Linked DNA regions of Arabidopsis thaliana. The protein of the gene in region 1 interacts with the protein of each later gene in a pairwise test. Each region holds a gene or a part of one and is shown on either strand. Other genes may lie near its edges.

Region 1 (7,692 bases):
CATGATTTATGCACTAATGGGTATTGTTTAATTTGCTTGGTCAAAACTCAGAACTCGAATGACCTTGACTTGTGCAATTAGTTGACGTTTTTAGGTACAGATTATTTTTGTACCAAAGCCAGACACCAAATATATCGAATAAGGGAAAAAATAAGCCCTCTTGGATGAAAAAATACGATCTTCCAATTCTTTTATTTTCACATATCAAAATAAACAATATTGATAAAATCTGAAAAAGAATTTAAAATAATATGCTAGCTCAATATAAAACTACACTTAAAAGTGCTGTTTTCGTGAACCACTTATTTAATTCAAATCATATTGCAAATCAGAAATCTTCTTAATCAACCCATCATCTGCTGACTCATAGGAGGAGCCATCGTCCGTTGCATATTTCCACTCCACCCTATCACATAAAAATAATAAAGTTACATCAAATAATTAATCAAACGTATGAAAGACACTAATTATTTCAATAGAAAGTGAGTCCACAAAACAATGCAATTTACCAATAGAGGGGTCAAGACCACGGGTTTTGAGTTCACGGTGTTCTTGGCAAAGAGCACAACATTCACAAAAGAAGTGAGTGACGCAATCCGAAGTTGGAGACTCCGGTAACCCGAATTTGCTTCGGATCTTGGTCCGGTAAGTGCATGAGAACAAGCAAGGTAAGCCGACCACACAACATATTAGCCCGTAAAATACCCCACATCTCCCACAACCTACGTACATTATATATACGACGTTACGTGAATTCACACACACACACATTGTTTAGATATGACATATGTGAATGTATGGCTTACCGGTCCTTCCTTCGTCGGAAATGTCCGCGATCCGTCCGAAAGTGACGCATGGGCAGAAACATGTGAGGCAAGCTTATCCAGCACAAACCAAAAGGAACAAATCATTATACAATCCTGACAATAGATCTATATATGTATAAAGATTAAAGGACAACTTGATTAAATTTATATAGAATTTCTACCAGTTTCACTGTCTTCCATGCAGCTGAAAAGACCAGAAGTCCATTGCTTTTCCATTGTAAAGTAGCTTCAACCAAATCTTGCGTCAGGTTTTAACCAGTTTTGTGTTGATCGATCTTTTGATAAGCGAGATCGTAAATCAATTAATTAGGGTTTTGAAGATAGATTTTTGTTGTTAGATGCTTTAAGAATGGAGGGTGGGTGGGTATATATATGGTTGATGGTGGATCGCTTCGAGAGATCTACAAATGTTTAATTTTTAGTACATTGCACTTTGGGAAAAATCATAAAAGTTGTAAAAAAGAGTAAAAGACTTTTAAAACTAGTACGTTGCACTTTTTGTTAAAAGGAGGAAGGTTTTTTGAAAATTGATTTTTGTTTAAGGAAGGTGAGAGATTTTACTGATTGTGAGAGATTTTAAGCTACTTAAAAGTAATATGTAAACGCGTTTTTGGGATTGGTTTAATCCACACATATATACAAGATACAAAGAATTTAATTTAATGACTAAGAAAATTAAAGAAATTATGAATAAAAAAGAAATATACATCCTAAAAATGCGAAAGTAAAATAAAACAGGCTATGCTAAATTTTAAAATATTAAATTCAACATTTTTCTATTCATAAAATTTCTATTAAAATTATTTGTAGATAAGAGATAATATGTTCAAACATTATTCCTCTATATAAGGAATCAAACTTGCAAACTTTAAAATAAAATTTTGAAAAATATATCTAATGTAATATTCTGGTTTTATTAGTAAAGTAATATTACTTAATACTAACAAATTACAAAGAAAAGAACTGAAGGAAAAAAAATAAACTTTTAAAATTTTCTAACCAGTGAAATAAATTAGAATTTAAACTTAAAATTTTATTAATTAATAATAGTCATAACAAAATTTGACAAATGTTTTCAACTTAGATGTGCAATAAACATGAATTTATTCTACTAAATCAATACTGGGCCTATGAATGGCGCAAGGAATAGCCCATTGGTTATTCTATATCTTTTGGACCTTACGTTTTTGAAGCCTGTTTAGGATCACACTCATAACAAAAAAATAAATAAGAATTACGCTTCTACCACCATTAAACTCTAATGTATCTGAACTCAGAAGATCCGATCGGAGTAGTAAAAATTCAACAAAACAACAATAAGAAAACTCATTAATTCATTCGTCGGATTCGAAGAAGAAATCACTTCCCAGAAACTTTCTTCGTATCGAAGTATTGCTTGTGTTCTTCGGAGAAACGAGATCGGGATCCGAATACGAGTACAATGGAGGTTTCGCAAGATGGATCGGAAAGAGATAAAACTCCTCCTCCTTCCTCTTCTTCTTCTTCTTCCTCTCCCATTCCTGTCGTCACCAATTTCTGGAAAGGTTTGTTTCAGATTATGTCTAGCTATCTATTCGTTTTCTTCGACTCGTAGTGAAGCTGAGGATGAGCTTGTTTTTGTAGTTAGGAGAAATTCGTTTGTTAGGATTCCGTTTAAGTAGTAAGACTTAATGAGATTCTCACTGAATGTTCGGGGAGATTGCATTGGTAGTTTAATGTGATCGGATTGAGAAATTTCAGTTTATTGCTTTAAAAGTTATCAACACATTTTTCAGTACTGATAACTAGTTTCATCTCGATTCTCCGGCTTTTGTATTTGTTATACGAAACCAGTTTCAATTAGAGAACTGGTTCTGTGGTTGCTCGCTGTTTTGATAGACATCATCATAGAAGAAAGCTCTTCCCGAATGATCCATTTACTTGTCTTTAAACTACTTGTTGCAGAATTTGATTTGGAGAAGGAGAAAAGCCTGCTTGACGAGCAAGGGCTTAGAATAGCTGAAAATCAAGAAAACAGCCAAAAGAATCGCCGAAAGCTTGCAGAGAGCACACGAGGTACTTTTTTGTTTCACCTTTTATATTGCTTAACACTTCAACATTTTCTCCTGAGGGACCTCGATAGGTTCCAGCGAAGAGATGTTAACATATTCTTTGGTTTATCTTGGTAACAACAGACTTCAAGAAAGCTTCGCCTGAGAACAAACTTAGTATGTTTAATTCCCTCCTCAAGGGATATCAAGAAGAAGTAGATAATATTACCAAGAGGGCCAAGTTTGGGGAGAATGCTTTCCTAAATATCTATCAGAAACTCTATGAAGCACCTGATCCGTTTCCTGCTCTTGCTTCTATTGCTGTAATTATCCACTTATCTAATGTTAACATAATAGACACCTAAAGTCCTTTAGCCTGAGAACCAACTAATTGCTGTATTCCAGGAGCAAGATCGTAAATTATCTGAAGTGGAATCTGAAAATCGAAAGATGAAAGTTGAACTTGAGGAGTTTAGGACAGAAGCGACTCATCTTAAAAATCAGCAGGCCACAATAAGAAGGCTTGAAGAACGGAACCGCCAGCTTGAGCAACAGGTCAGCTTGCTTTTAACCTCTTCTTCTAATTGATATAGGGATAAAACTAAATGAATGTAAAGCACAGCTTCCTTGATTATTTTTCAGTCTATTCTAGGAGGTCAAATGCAAATTTATACACTGAGCCATAAGCATGATTTATATAGAGATGCTATTTTGTGATCTTGTAACGAATAACTGTCGAAGATTAGCAGTGATATCGAGTTGTTATATTTGGATTCAGATGGAAGAAAAAATCAAAGAAGTTGTTGAGATCAAGCAACGAAATCTGGCTGAGGAAAACCAGAAAACGATGGAGCTTTTAAAGGATAGGTAAAAAAAAAATTCTCTTCTGCATGCTTTGGGTGTTTAGAAAGTTTTCGAGGAAGCACCAACCTTTCCTTGTTCACTGTTTAACAGGGAGCAAGCTTTGCAAGATCAGTTAAGGCAAGCAAAAGACAGCGTCTCCACTATGCAAAAATTGCATGAGTTAGCACAGAACCAACTTTTTGAACTCCGTGCTCAATCAGGTGGTGCATTGAGCCTTAATATGGTGACTCATATTGTGCTTTCATAATTGGAATGGTCTCCCTTACATATTGTTCCTTCTTGTCTTGTTAATATATGTCACCTTTGTCTAAACCATCAGACGAAGAGACCGCGGGGAAGCAATCTGAAGTTAGTCTATTGATGGATGAAGTGGAGCGTGCTCAGACCCGACTCCTTACTCTTGAGAGGGAAAAGGTCTTTCATATCATGCTCTCTTTGTTTGAATTAAGGGAATGCCCTAAGATAAACCACCGTTTTTAGCTCTCTAATTTTGTTTATTGGTTTGTAACAGGGACATCTGCGTTCTCAGCTGCAAACAGCTAATGAAGATACTGATAACAAGAAAAGGTGAGGTGACACTTATGCGTCCATATAACAAGGAGTCAAATAACTTTTATCTAAGTTTTTGCTTTGTTTTAATTTTTTTGTTATGCTCTTTCTCTACAGTGATAATATTGATTCGAATAGTATGCTGGAGAACTCGTTAACTGCAAAAGAGAAGATTATTTCGGAGCTTAATATGGAGATTCACAATGTTGAGACAGCTTTAGCTAATGAGCGAGAAAGTCATGTTGCCGAGATAAAGAAATTGAATTCTTTGCTCAATAAAAAGGTGAAATTTGTGCTATGTTTTGTCTTTTATGCTGAGAAATTATATTTTGTTCTGAAAATTAGTTTCCGGTCCCTTCAATGTCTAATATTAGCTTACCGTCATTTGGTATTAAACCAGGATACTATCATTGAAGAGATGAAGAAAGAGCTTCAAGAAAGACCATCAGCAAAATTAGTTGATGATTTGCGCAAAAAAGTGAAAATTCTGCAGGTATTCATCATTTCAAGTGTTTTTTGGTGCTCACTTAGTTTAACTTCTTATTAACTTCTTGCCACAGATCCATACCTTGTTCTTTCTGGTAACGGTACGATCGTATGTAGTAATATCATTGTTGCATATTAGGCTGTAGGTTACAATTCAATTGAGGCTGAAGACTGGGATGCTGCTACCACTGGTGAAGAGATGAGCAAAATGGAGTCGCTTCTTCTTGATAAAAACAGAAAAATGGAACATGAGGTCACTCAGTTAAAGGTACATGACCTCTACGGAATGAACCACCACCATCTGTAATTCTGTCTTTTCGTTACTCTTTCCCTTTTCAGTGAACATACACAAGTAAAGTCACTGGTCGATTCACACCACTTCTTTTCCCAGGTTCAACTTTCTGAGAAAGCTTCCTTGCTTGAGAAGGCTGAAGCCAAGGGAGAAGAACTGACAGCTAAGGTTAATGAACAACAAAGACTGATACAAAAGTTGGAGGATGATATTTTGAAGGTACGTAAGAGTGTGTAGTTACCATTTTAAGTTAAAAGGTATCTGTGCTACTGCTACTAAGGAGGAGAAACTCGATCAAAGTCTTTGATTATACTGAAACCTTATTTACTTGTTACACAGGGTTACGGTTCAAAAGAGCGAAAAGGTGCTCTATTTGATGAATGGGAGTTCTCAGAAGCAGGTGTGGCTGAGCAGTCTGAGGTACTTCTCTCTGGCCCTGTGCATATATGAGTCAATGAGTCGTGTAATTTATCATGCAATACTCTTAAAGCAGGAAAATTTTCCCAAAAGTAAAAGAAAGGATGGAATCGTTCAGAACTAAGAGTTAGATAAACAGTAACCTATCGCTTTAAGTTCTCTACTAGATAATCTTAACGGTCTAACATGTATGCTCACTCTGCCTTCTATTTATGGCGTGAATTAAAATATTGCTAGGGAATCGTGGTACGTATATATTTTACCATGATCTATTTTTTTTTCAAAAGCAAAATACCTCTGAACTTCTTGTCAAACCATTAAAAAGTTTTCATACAACTAAGGGTATTTCCATGATATGGTATATTATATACCTCACAATTAGACTTATCACTAACTACTGCTCTTTATCATTTTGTGTTTCCTTTTATTAGCCTATGGATCAGAAACATGTTCCATCAGAGCAAGATCAAAGCTCAATGCTAAAAGTTATCTGCAGCCAAAGAGATCGGTTCCGAGCACGATTACGGGAAACAGAAGAGGTACAGTTAGTTGTACATATAAATGATCCTCTTCCCTCTGTATTCTCTATCTCCAGTTAAATTTATTTGAACTGAATTTTATGTGTTCTCTTAACATTGCAGGAAATAAGGCGATTAAAAGAGAAGATAGGTTTTCTCACAGACGAATTGGAGAAGACCAAAGCAGACAACGTCAAACTCTATGGGAAAATCCGTTATGTCCAAGACTATAACCATGATAAAGTTGTTTCCCGAGGATCGAAAAAGGTATTTGTTTTCTGCGATACATTTCCCTTGAACCTTTTCTGTCTCGTGATCGGGTTTTTTCCATGGTTGATATCGTTTTCCAATCTCAGTATGTGGAAGATCTTGAAAGTGGATTCAGCTCGGATGTCGAATCAAAATACAAGAAAATTTACGAAGATGACATCAACCCTTTTGCAGCATTCTCGAAAAAGGTAAAAAATAAAACATTCTGCTATCATCGACACAAGCCTTATATTTCTTTCCTAAACATTAACCCTTTCCTATTTATATGTGTTTGATAGGAAAGAGAGCAACGGATCAAAGATTTGGGAATCAGAGATCGGATTACGCTAAGCAGTGGGCGGTTCCTTCTAGGAAACAAGTAATCCTCTTGCTCTCAAGTTTATTCACATTCATACTCGATCACAGAATTTTCGGTTATTTTCAATTTCATGATTGGATCTTTCAGATACGCAAGGACATTTGCTTTCTTCTACACAATAGGATTGCACGTCCTTGTCTTCACTTGTCTCTACCGTATGTCTGCTTACAGTTATCTCAGGTAAAACAAACCCACCAATTTTTGTTTTTGTTACAAGTCCATTATGTGATTGATTTTATTTAATTTCTTCTTCTTTATTTATGGTTTAGCCATGGAGCAGAGGAGACTCTAATGACAGAAGCAACCACAAACCTTCCTCACGGTCTTTAAGCTCTCACCCTAGGGACTTATTCGTTTTTGGTCGTTATGTTCTTTCTTGTCCTTGTAGTGTTCCGTGGGCAATTCTAAAACGGTTGAATATTTGTACAGAGGGATCCAAATCACTCGATACATATATAAAGCCACAGAAAAAACTTCCTTCAGAAAACTGCAGAAATCTAAATAAGATCTGGTTTACTTTTCTTCGAAACATAAATAACCATGAAAAATGCACCAAAACGATAACAAATCCGACAGGAATAATTGTTGCTATCCAAATACAAAATAAAATAAAATGAAAGTCGTTGCTTGATATCTGTTAGGCAACAACACCTACGTGGCTGGGCCTTTGAATGCTTGCTTGACAATCGATGGGATAGTGAGGTAGGAGCTGTTATCGGTAAGGCTGGAGCCAATAGGCCTTATTTTCCAGAACGGGCCATGATCAAGAGTTTTCGACCCAAACGTCCCGAAGAAGGGATGGTTAGGAAACATCCTGATATATGTCTGAGAGAAGGCGGCAAGTGCTTCCGCAAGGGGAGGGAGGTTGCGAACTGTGCTTTTGAGCTGGTAACCGAACTCATAGGTTGCACGCTTATCAGCAATACAATTTGGTGATTCTGGAAGATGTTCCGGGGTAGAGAGAACGACCATGACTTGGTTAGCAACCAACCCATGTGGAGAGCAGTCAGCAAGGGTGCCGGATCCTTCAAAGGATGCAGCAACATCATCCGCAACTCCTTTTACTTGATTGAACCAAGCC
Region 2 (6,303 bases), on another chromosome or scaffold:
CTCTTAGAGTTTGAAGACGTACTTTCTTGACTTGATCGGCACCTTTGTAAGAGGTTCGAAGCTTCTCCCATGCTTCTTTCGCCGACGTAGCTTCAACGACCTTCTCGAACGTATCTTCATCTAATCCTTGATAGATTAGACAGAGAGCTTTCTTGTCTCTCTTTCTTGAGTCTCTCAAACCATCTTTTTGAGTTTGAGAAAGACTACCTTCATTCTCCGGTTCAATGAAACCTTTCTCGACTATCTCCCACACGTCATGTGCTCCTAGGATAGCCTTCATTCGTAGACTCCAATTATCATAGTTGCTCTTTGTGAGCACCGGGACTTGGAAGGGAACATTATTACTCGCCATCTTTAGGATCTTCAAGCTCTGATACCACTTTGTTAGAGTAAAATTCTTTTAGAGGTAATGGAGAAAGTGTTTAAGTGTTTTGAGAGAGTTTTTTAGGAAATAGAACTTTTATTACTTTGCTTTAAACTTGAATACAACTTCACAACATTGCAACATTTGAGAGGGGGAGGAGGTATTTATAGCCTCCAAACTACAAAATATCTAAAATATTTTAATCCTAAGTCTAGAGAGTTCTTACATAAGATCTAGATTACATTATTCAAATTATCTAGATTATTCTATTAGAGTATCTAGATTTTTATGTTTAAGGAGGTGGAAGATGATTCTAGAAAATTTCTAGAATCTTTTAAGGAGGTGGAAATGATGATATTTCTAGAGAAAACTCTAGAACTTGGATTTGGCCATAATTAATTATTGGATAATTGATCCAATAATTAAACTTGATTCAAAATCAAGTTTAACTTTCAACAACAAGACATGGAAGAAATTGTGTTCCATAGATCTCACAGTAAATATCTCTTGGTTTTTTTCTTTCAGCTACCCATTGGCTCCAATAGCAATCATGGACGGGAATAAGCTATTGCTTCAAGGTCGAAATAGCTGGGGACATCGGGTGATATATGATCTCCATGACAAATCTTATGATTTACTCTTTGACCCTTCAACCGGATATGCTGTTTATTATTACCAAAGCTTATTCTCTGCTTAATTTGTCTTTCTTTTCGTTCTACCAATGATGAACCTTTGTAATTTAACATTTTCTGCATTTTTAGCTTCTTCTCGGATTTTCTTTGTTGATCTCAGCATTTTTAGATTTTTGTCTAAATATATTTTTGTTGGTGGTACTTAGTTATATTGTTGGTGGTTCATTGGAGTACAATGCTGCGAAAGAAGAATCAAAGAGAAAACACTTGGTTTAAGTAAAGAGTATAACAATTACAGACAATTAACGAAGAATCATATGCATAATTTCTTCATGTGGTATTGAATTATATAAACACCAATAAATATCTAGGCTAATACACTTTTTCCTTTACGACATTAGAAATTACAAATCTTTTTTCTTTCTTTCTTAAAACTCTCATTAAAAACAATGATAAATCAAACATGCTTCGTTCCAGCTTGGTTACTGTTCTTGCCCATCTCAAGCGCATTCCCATACTCACCATCCTCCACAAACCTTGACCAATACCAGTGTGACCTCCACACTTGACCCATCTCCTCTATCGGAATCCCTTTCGTCTCCGGCAAGAAAATGTATACAAAGATCGACATCACCACCACGAAAAAGGCGAAAACAAGGAATAACCCAAACTTCAAATGACAAAGCATCGTCAAGAAGATTTGCGCGATAATGAACGTGAAGATCATGTTCACGGACACGGTGATACTCTGCGCCGCCGACCTTATCTCCAACGGGAAGATTTCACTCGGTACTAACCACCCTAGTGGGCCCCACGACCACGCAAAACCCGCCACATAGATGCAAATGAACGTTACAACCACTATAGCATACCACTTTGGTAGCTCACCAGGGGTCCCGTCTACCCCAAACTTGGCCCCTATGCAAGCTGCAACCACAGCCTACAATTACACAGAGAGTGAACCAACACATCTTTATTAGTATATGTTTATATAGATCTTAGAGATAAATAAAAGTAGTAATTGTTCCTTACCTGGCATATAAGCATTTGTGTACCACCTTCAAGAAAGAGAAACCGACGTCCCCATCTGTCAACACCGTAGATAGAAACAAGCGTAGCGGCCACGTTAACCGAGCCAGTGACCACAGCGGACATGAGAGAAGCATCGGTCGTGAAACCAATGGTGTTGAACAAAACCGGAGCGTAAAACATAATCACATTGATTCCGGTTAGCTGTTGAAAGAACGGAATCATAACGGCCATTGTGAGATGTGGTCGGTACTTGCGGCGGAGGAGGTTTCTCCACGGGTGCTCTATCGACTGCGACTCTTTACTAGCGGCGACCAAATCGTCAAACTCTTGGCTGACGTCATCGACACCACGGATTCGTCTGAGCTTGGTTTTGGCTTCTTCGTGTTGGCCACGCTCGATCATTGAATTGGGAGTGTCAGGGAGGACGAGGGAGCCGATGGTTATGATCAAGGCAGGAACCACCGCGCCTCCGAGACTGAGCCGCCATCCCCAACCGCCTTTGATCTTGGCGAAGAAGTAGTTTAGCACTTCGGCGACGAGGATTCCGATTGTAATTGAGAGCTGGAAACCAATGTTTAAAGCTCCTCTGTATTTGTATGGAGCCATCTCAGAGAGGTACAGTGGCACAGCCTGTAAATAGTGATATTAACTAGGGTTAGTTACGTAGTTAGCAGGTTTAAGTAGATACGTGTCCTAATCTGACTTTTTTAAGTGAGTGAAGATTCTGATTGTTCGAGATCAAATAGAGATATGAACGTAAATATGGAAGTTAAACAGGGTCAATTTTGTCATTGCGTTATAACTCGAAGATAGGTCCGAATATGACCTTTTTCCTAACTAAAAAATATATAATATGACGTCAAAAACAATATATTTTTTTAATTAATTAAAACAATGGAAATGGAGAGAAAGAGACATCATCACAGTCTAATGAAAAGACCATGTGGAATTGTGGATACTAGCAGAAAAACAAATCAATAACAAAATTCAATAATTGTAATATCATATACTCTATAACGTGGAATATAATGATCGTTGTAGTAGAAAAGCAAAAGAAAATTGATAAAGTCAAGTTGACCTAACTATTTTATGATTATGTTTAATGAAAGTAGTTGGCTTAGTCCATAACTTTTTTTCCAAAACCAAGGTACATTTATAACGGTTATAAATATAACTTTCAATACATTAATAACTTCTATAGTAGTATTAAAGACAATTTTATTTTTGTTAGTTTTCTGTTCGACAAAAAAAAATCAATTTTGATAGAAACACATTATGGATGGTTATTTGTAAACTAAACCAACGTAATTAAAATTAAGGTTTTTTAATGACGGACCTGATTAGCGAAACCGATACCGAAACCAAGCAAGATACGACCGACGATGAGCATCCAAACATGTTTGGCGAAACCATTGATGAGAGCTCCGGCGCAGAAGAGTATGCCGCCGAAGAGCATCGAGAGCCGCCGTCCGAACTTTCTTGTCACGGTGGAAGCCACCAGCGACGAAATTAGCGCCGCTAGATATAGAGACGATGTGAACATCGTTAGCGTCGGGCTATCGTACTGACAGTACTGGTTCGTTGACGCGTCCTCTTGTTGTTTCCGATACACCGACGGGAAGAATCGCTTGAGGAAAGACGGCATAGACGTCACACCACCTGTAAATATTTTAAATTCATTAACAGATATCCCAGAGAAAATTTATCAGACATGGATGAGGGTTTACATGACTCTGTTTTAAAACATGTGCGGCGATTTTGTAATTTTAAAGACTTGCAATATTGTTGGTGATTCTGTAATTTTGAGCCTTGTGTGTCATCATGACTAAAGTGAAAATATGGGGTGGGTACTCTAATGTTTTCGTATCAAAAACGACAATTATTATTTCTGATTTGGGTGTGTTGATGACTACATAGATACTTTTGGGGTGGAAATGTAAAATCTGAAAAATAGAGAGACACTAACCGGAGATTCCGATATCGTATCCGAAGATGAGACCGCCCATGGCAGCAACAACGCAAGTGAAGAGAACAAAGGGAGTGAGTTTGCCGGGATAAGCCTTTTGGCCATCCCCGACGACGAATCCACCGGCAGGCATTTCTTTTATCCTAAACAAGACCCGTAAAGTCTTTAGGATTCTTCTTTAGGCCCTCTTGTTTATTTTTGATGGGATGGGTTTTTGCAAACGAAAGGAAAGTGGAACCGAAATTGAGAAAGAGATATTAGATGGAGAGATCAGAGATTATTTATCAGAGTTATATAGACAGTGGGGAATAGAAGTGGAAAAGTGTTGAGCTGTCTTTTCGTATTTTCTTAGCTGTGAATCTATAATTAATTTAATTTTCTTACAAATAATGCGGTACTAATTATCCACATTATAAGATAAATTATGTGACGTTGTTTCATGATTTTGAGCCACTTGGTTACCGTTATGTGAACATTTATTAACCGCATCATGACTTTAAGAGTCCGTGGATTTATGTACGTATGTCTTATTTTAAATATTTACCATTAGTTCACAACAAAATATATATATATATATATATATATATATATATATATACCATTCATCACCACATTAGTTTTATAAATGATTGAGAATGTTAAAATGTGAAACATAATTGCTATATCTTTCTTTAAATTAGTTTATTCTAATTTATATATATATATATATAAAAATACCTGAATAAATGAATTGCAACAAAAATCTTAACACATCAATCTAGAGAAAGAAAAAAGTGGACACCAGAGGTGTTAGTAGTGTGTGAATAAAATTGTGGCCGATGTACATGAGTGTAAAATCAAATTCAGTTCGTTGACTTGAAGACCCACTTGATGGTTCAACGGCTCTATCCAATTCCATACGTATACATAACGAGTAATGTCCAAATTATCTTTGTTCGTTTTCAAGATTTTGTTTTCGGGATAATGTAACTCATTAATGTATCGTATATCCTCAAAATTCCTAATTAGGTACTAGAAACTCATTAACAATAAAGACAATAGTAGAAGACTTGTTTACAAAAATGTTATTAAAAACGTGGAAAAAAATATATATATATTGAACCATTGTATGATATCATTTTTAATAAATCCAACATAGTGCTCTAAACTTTCAACTTTTGTACCCATAAATTGACTAATATCAGTTCAAATTAACGTCATATATCATGCAAAAACAAATACTTCAAAATGTACCAAATAGTAATAAATTGTGTATCACAAGATATCATAAACATAAAATTTTACCAAAAGAAGAGTTGAGGTCGGTGGAATGGTGGCAAAAATAAATGAACACGTCATGTGCTAATCAGCAAGGATCGCATTTCATTCGACGGTCCAACTAATTTTCTTGATCTATTTGGATAACATTAAATTCGTTTTGGATAATGTTCTTGGAATTAATTTGTTTCATGGGATGCAGCATTGGTTTTTCTTATAAAGTGACATCGAAATTTTCTTTACAGATATAAAGATTTATTTTTCAATTTCGACCACGCAAAGATTTTGTTTATCTAGAAAAGAACATAACAATGTACGGTTACGTGGAATGCTTATCCATATATCTTCTTTTTGAGTTTGAAAGTGTTGTTAACGTTCACATATATAAGTCCGTGGTATTAGGATAGGTTCAAAATTTATAGGACAGATTCATATGTACGCAATTTTAAAATACTCTTTTTCTTTCTTCAGTCTTACTTGATGTTAATTGGTTTCCATCTAATCTTTGGCTTTTTGCTTAATAGGCAGAGTAAAGAGAAAGAGGCAAAATTTGGTTGATAAAAAAAGGTAAAGGCGAATAAAGAAATTGTTTTAAAATAAAGGGGTTAAAGGTAATTTTAAAAAGCTGTGCTTATTCTTTTCCCAGATTCGCGGCACTTCTGAACTAAGATTTGCATATGATTATCATTTATCATAACCCAAACTTCCTAAATTACCCCTGTACACTTCCCCCTTTTGATAATTCACAACCAAATGGAACTTTCATAATTTCAAACTCACTGCGAAATTCCAAAACAACATAATTGTCAAACTTCCTGAAAAATCTGTGTAAAATGAAGTATAGTAATTGCTAGAGCAGTGAATATAAAATCCAAGGACAAAGGGACGAATATGACATTTTTGGGTGGATTTTTAATTAATAAACGTCGTAGTGAAGGATGATAAAGACAAGATCTTTTTTATATAAAGAAAATACAGGATATTTTGTACGAATGATAAATGATAAACTAAATTTGTAAAACGAAAAGATGGTCCCTGGGTTTTCTCAAAGA

The links. The genes of interacting proteins can lie anywhere in the genome.
Region 2: the proteins of CASP (region 1) and STP1 interact in a protein complementation assay, tested with the Arabidopsis thaliana proteins (one large-scale study listed by BioGRID).

What each region holds. Positions count from the first base shown.
Region 1 is NC_003074.8:6,334,656-6,342,347, forward strand, and holds CASP (CCAAT-displacement protein alternatively spliced product), read left to right. Parts: upstream 1-2,036; 5' UTR 2,037-2,268; coding exon 2,269-2,371; intron 2,372-2,771; coding exon 2,772-2,882; intron 2,883-3,001; coding exon 3,002-3,180; intron 3,181-3,262; coding exon 3,263-3,412; intron 3,413-3,635; coding exon 3,636-3,724; intron 3,725-3,811; coding exon 3,812-3,921; intron 3,922-4,040; coding exon 4,041-4,135; intron 4,136-4,232; coding exon 4,233-4,288; intron 4,289-4,387; coding exon 4,388-4,553; intron 4,554-4,670; coding exon 4,671-4,763; intron 4,764-4,895; coding exon 4,896-5,024; intron 5,025-5,147; coding exon 5,148-5,267; intron 5,268-5,387; coding exon 5,388-5,468; intron 5,469-5,896; coding exon 5,897-6,004; intron 6,005-6,106; coding exon 6,107-6,250; intron 6,251-6,339; coding exon 6,340-6,441; intron 6,442-6,531; coding exon 6,532-6,611; intron 6,612-6,698; coding exon 6,699-6,791; intron 6,792-6,880; coding exon 6,881-6,941; 3' UTR 6,942-7,133; and 1 more. Other genes in the region: AT3G18470 (PLAC8 family protein), read right to left, coding at 345-406, 510-722, 807-878, 989-1,043; ILR2 (iaa-leucine resistant 2), read right to left, coding at 7,263-7,692. UniProt on the Arabidopsis thaliana protein: May be involved in intra-Golgi transport.
Region 2 is NC_003070.9:3,775,284-3,781,586, reverse strand, and holds STP1 (sugar transporter 1), read right to left. Parts: upstream 4,352-6,303; 5' UTR 4,128-4,351; coding exon 3,995-4,127; intron 3,688-3,994; coding exon 3,365-3,687; intron 2,659-3,364; coding exon 2,029-2,658; intron 1,937-2,028; coding exon 1,454-1,936; 3' UTR 764-1,453; downstream 1-763. UniProt on the Arabidopsis thaliana protein: Major hexose transporter. Mediates an active uptake of hexoses, by sugar/hydrogen symport. Can transport glucose, 3-O-methylglucose, fructose, xylose, mannose, galactose, fucose, 2-deoxyglucose and arabinose. Confers sensitivity to galactose in seedlings.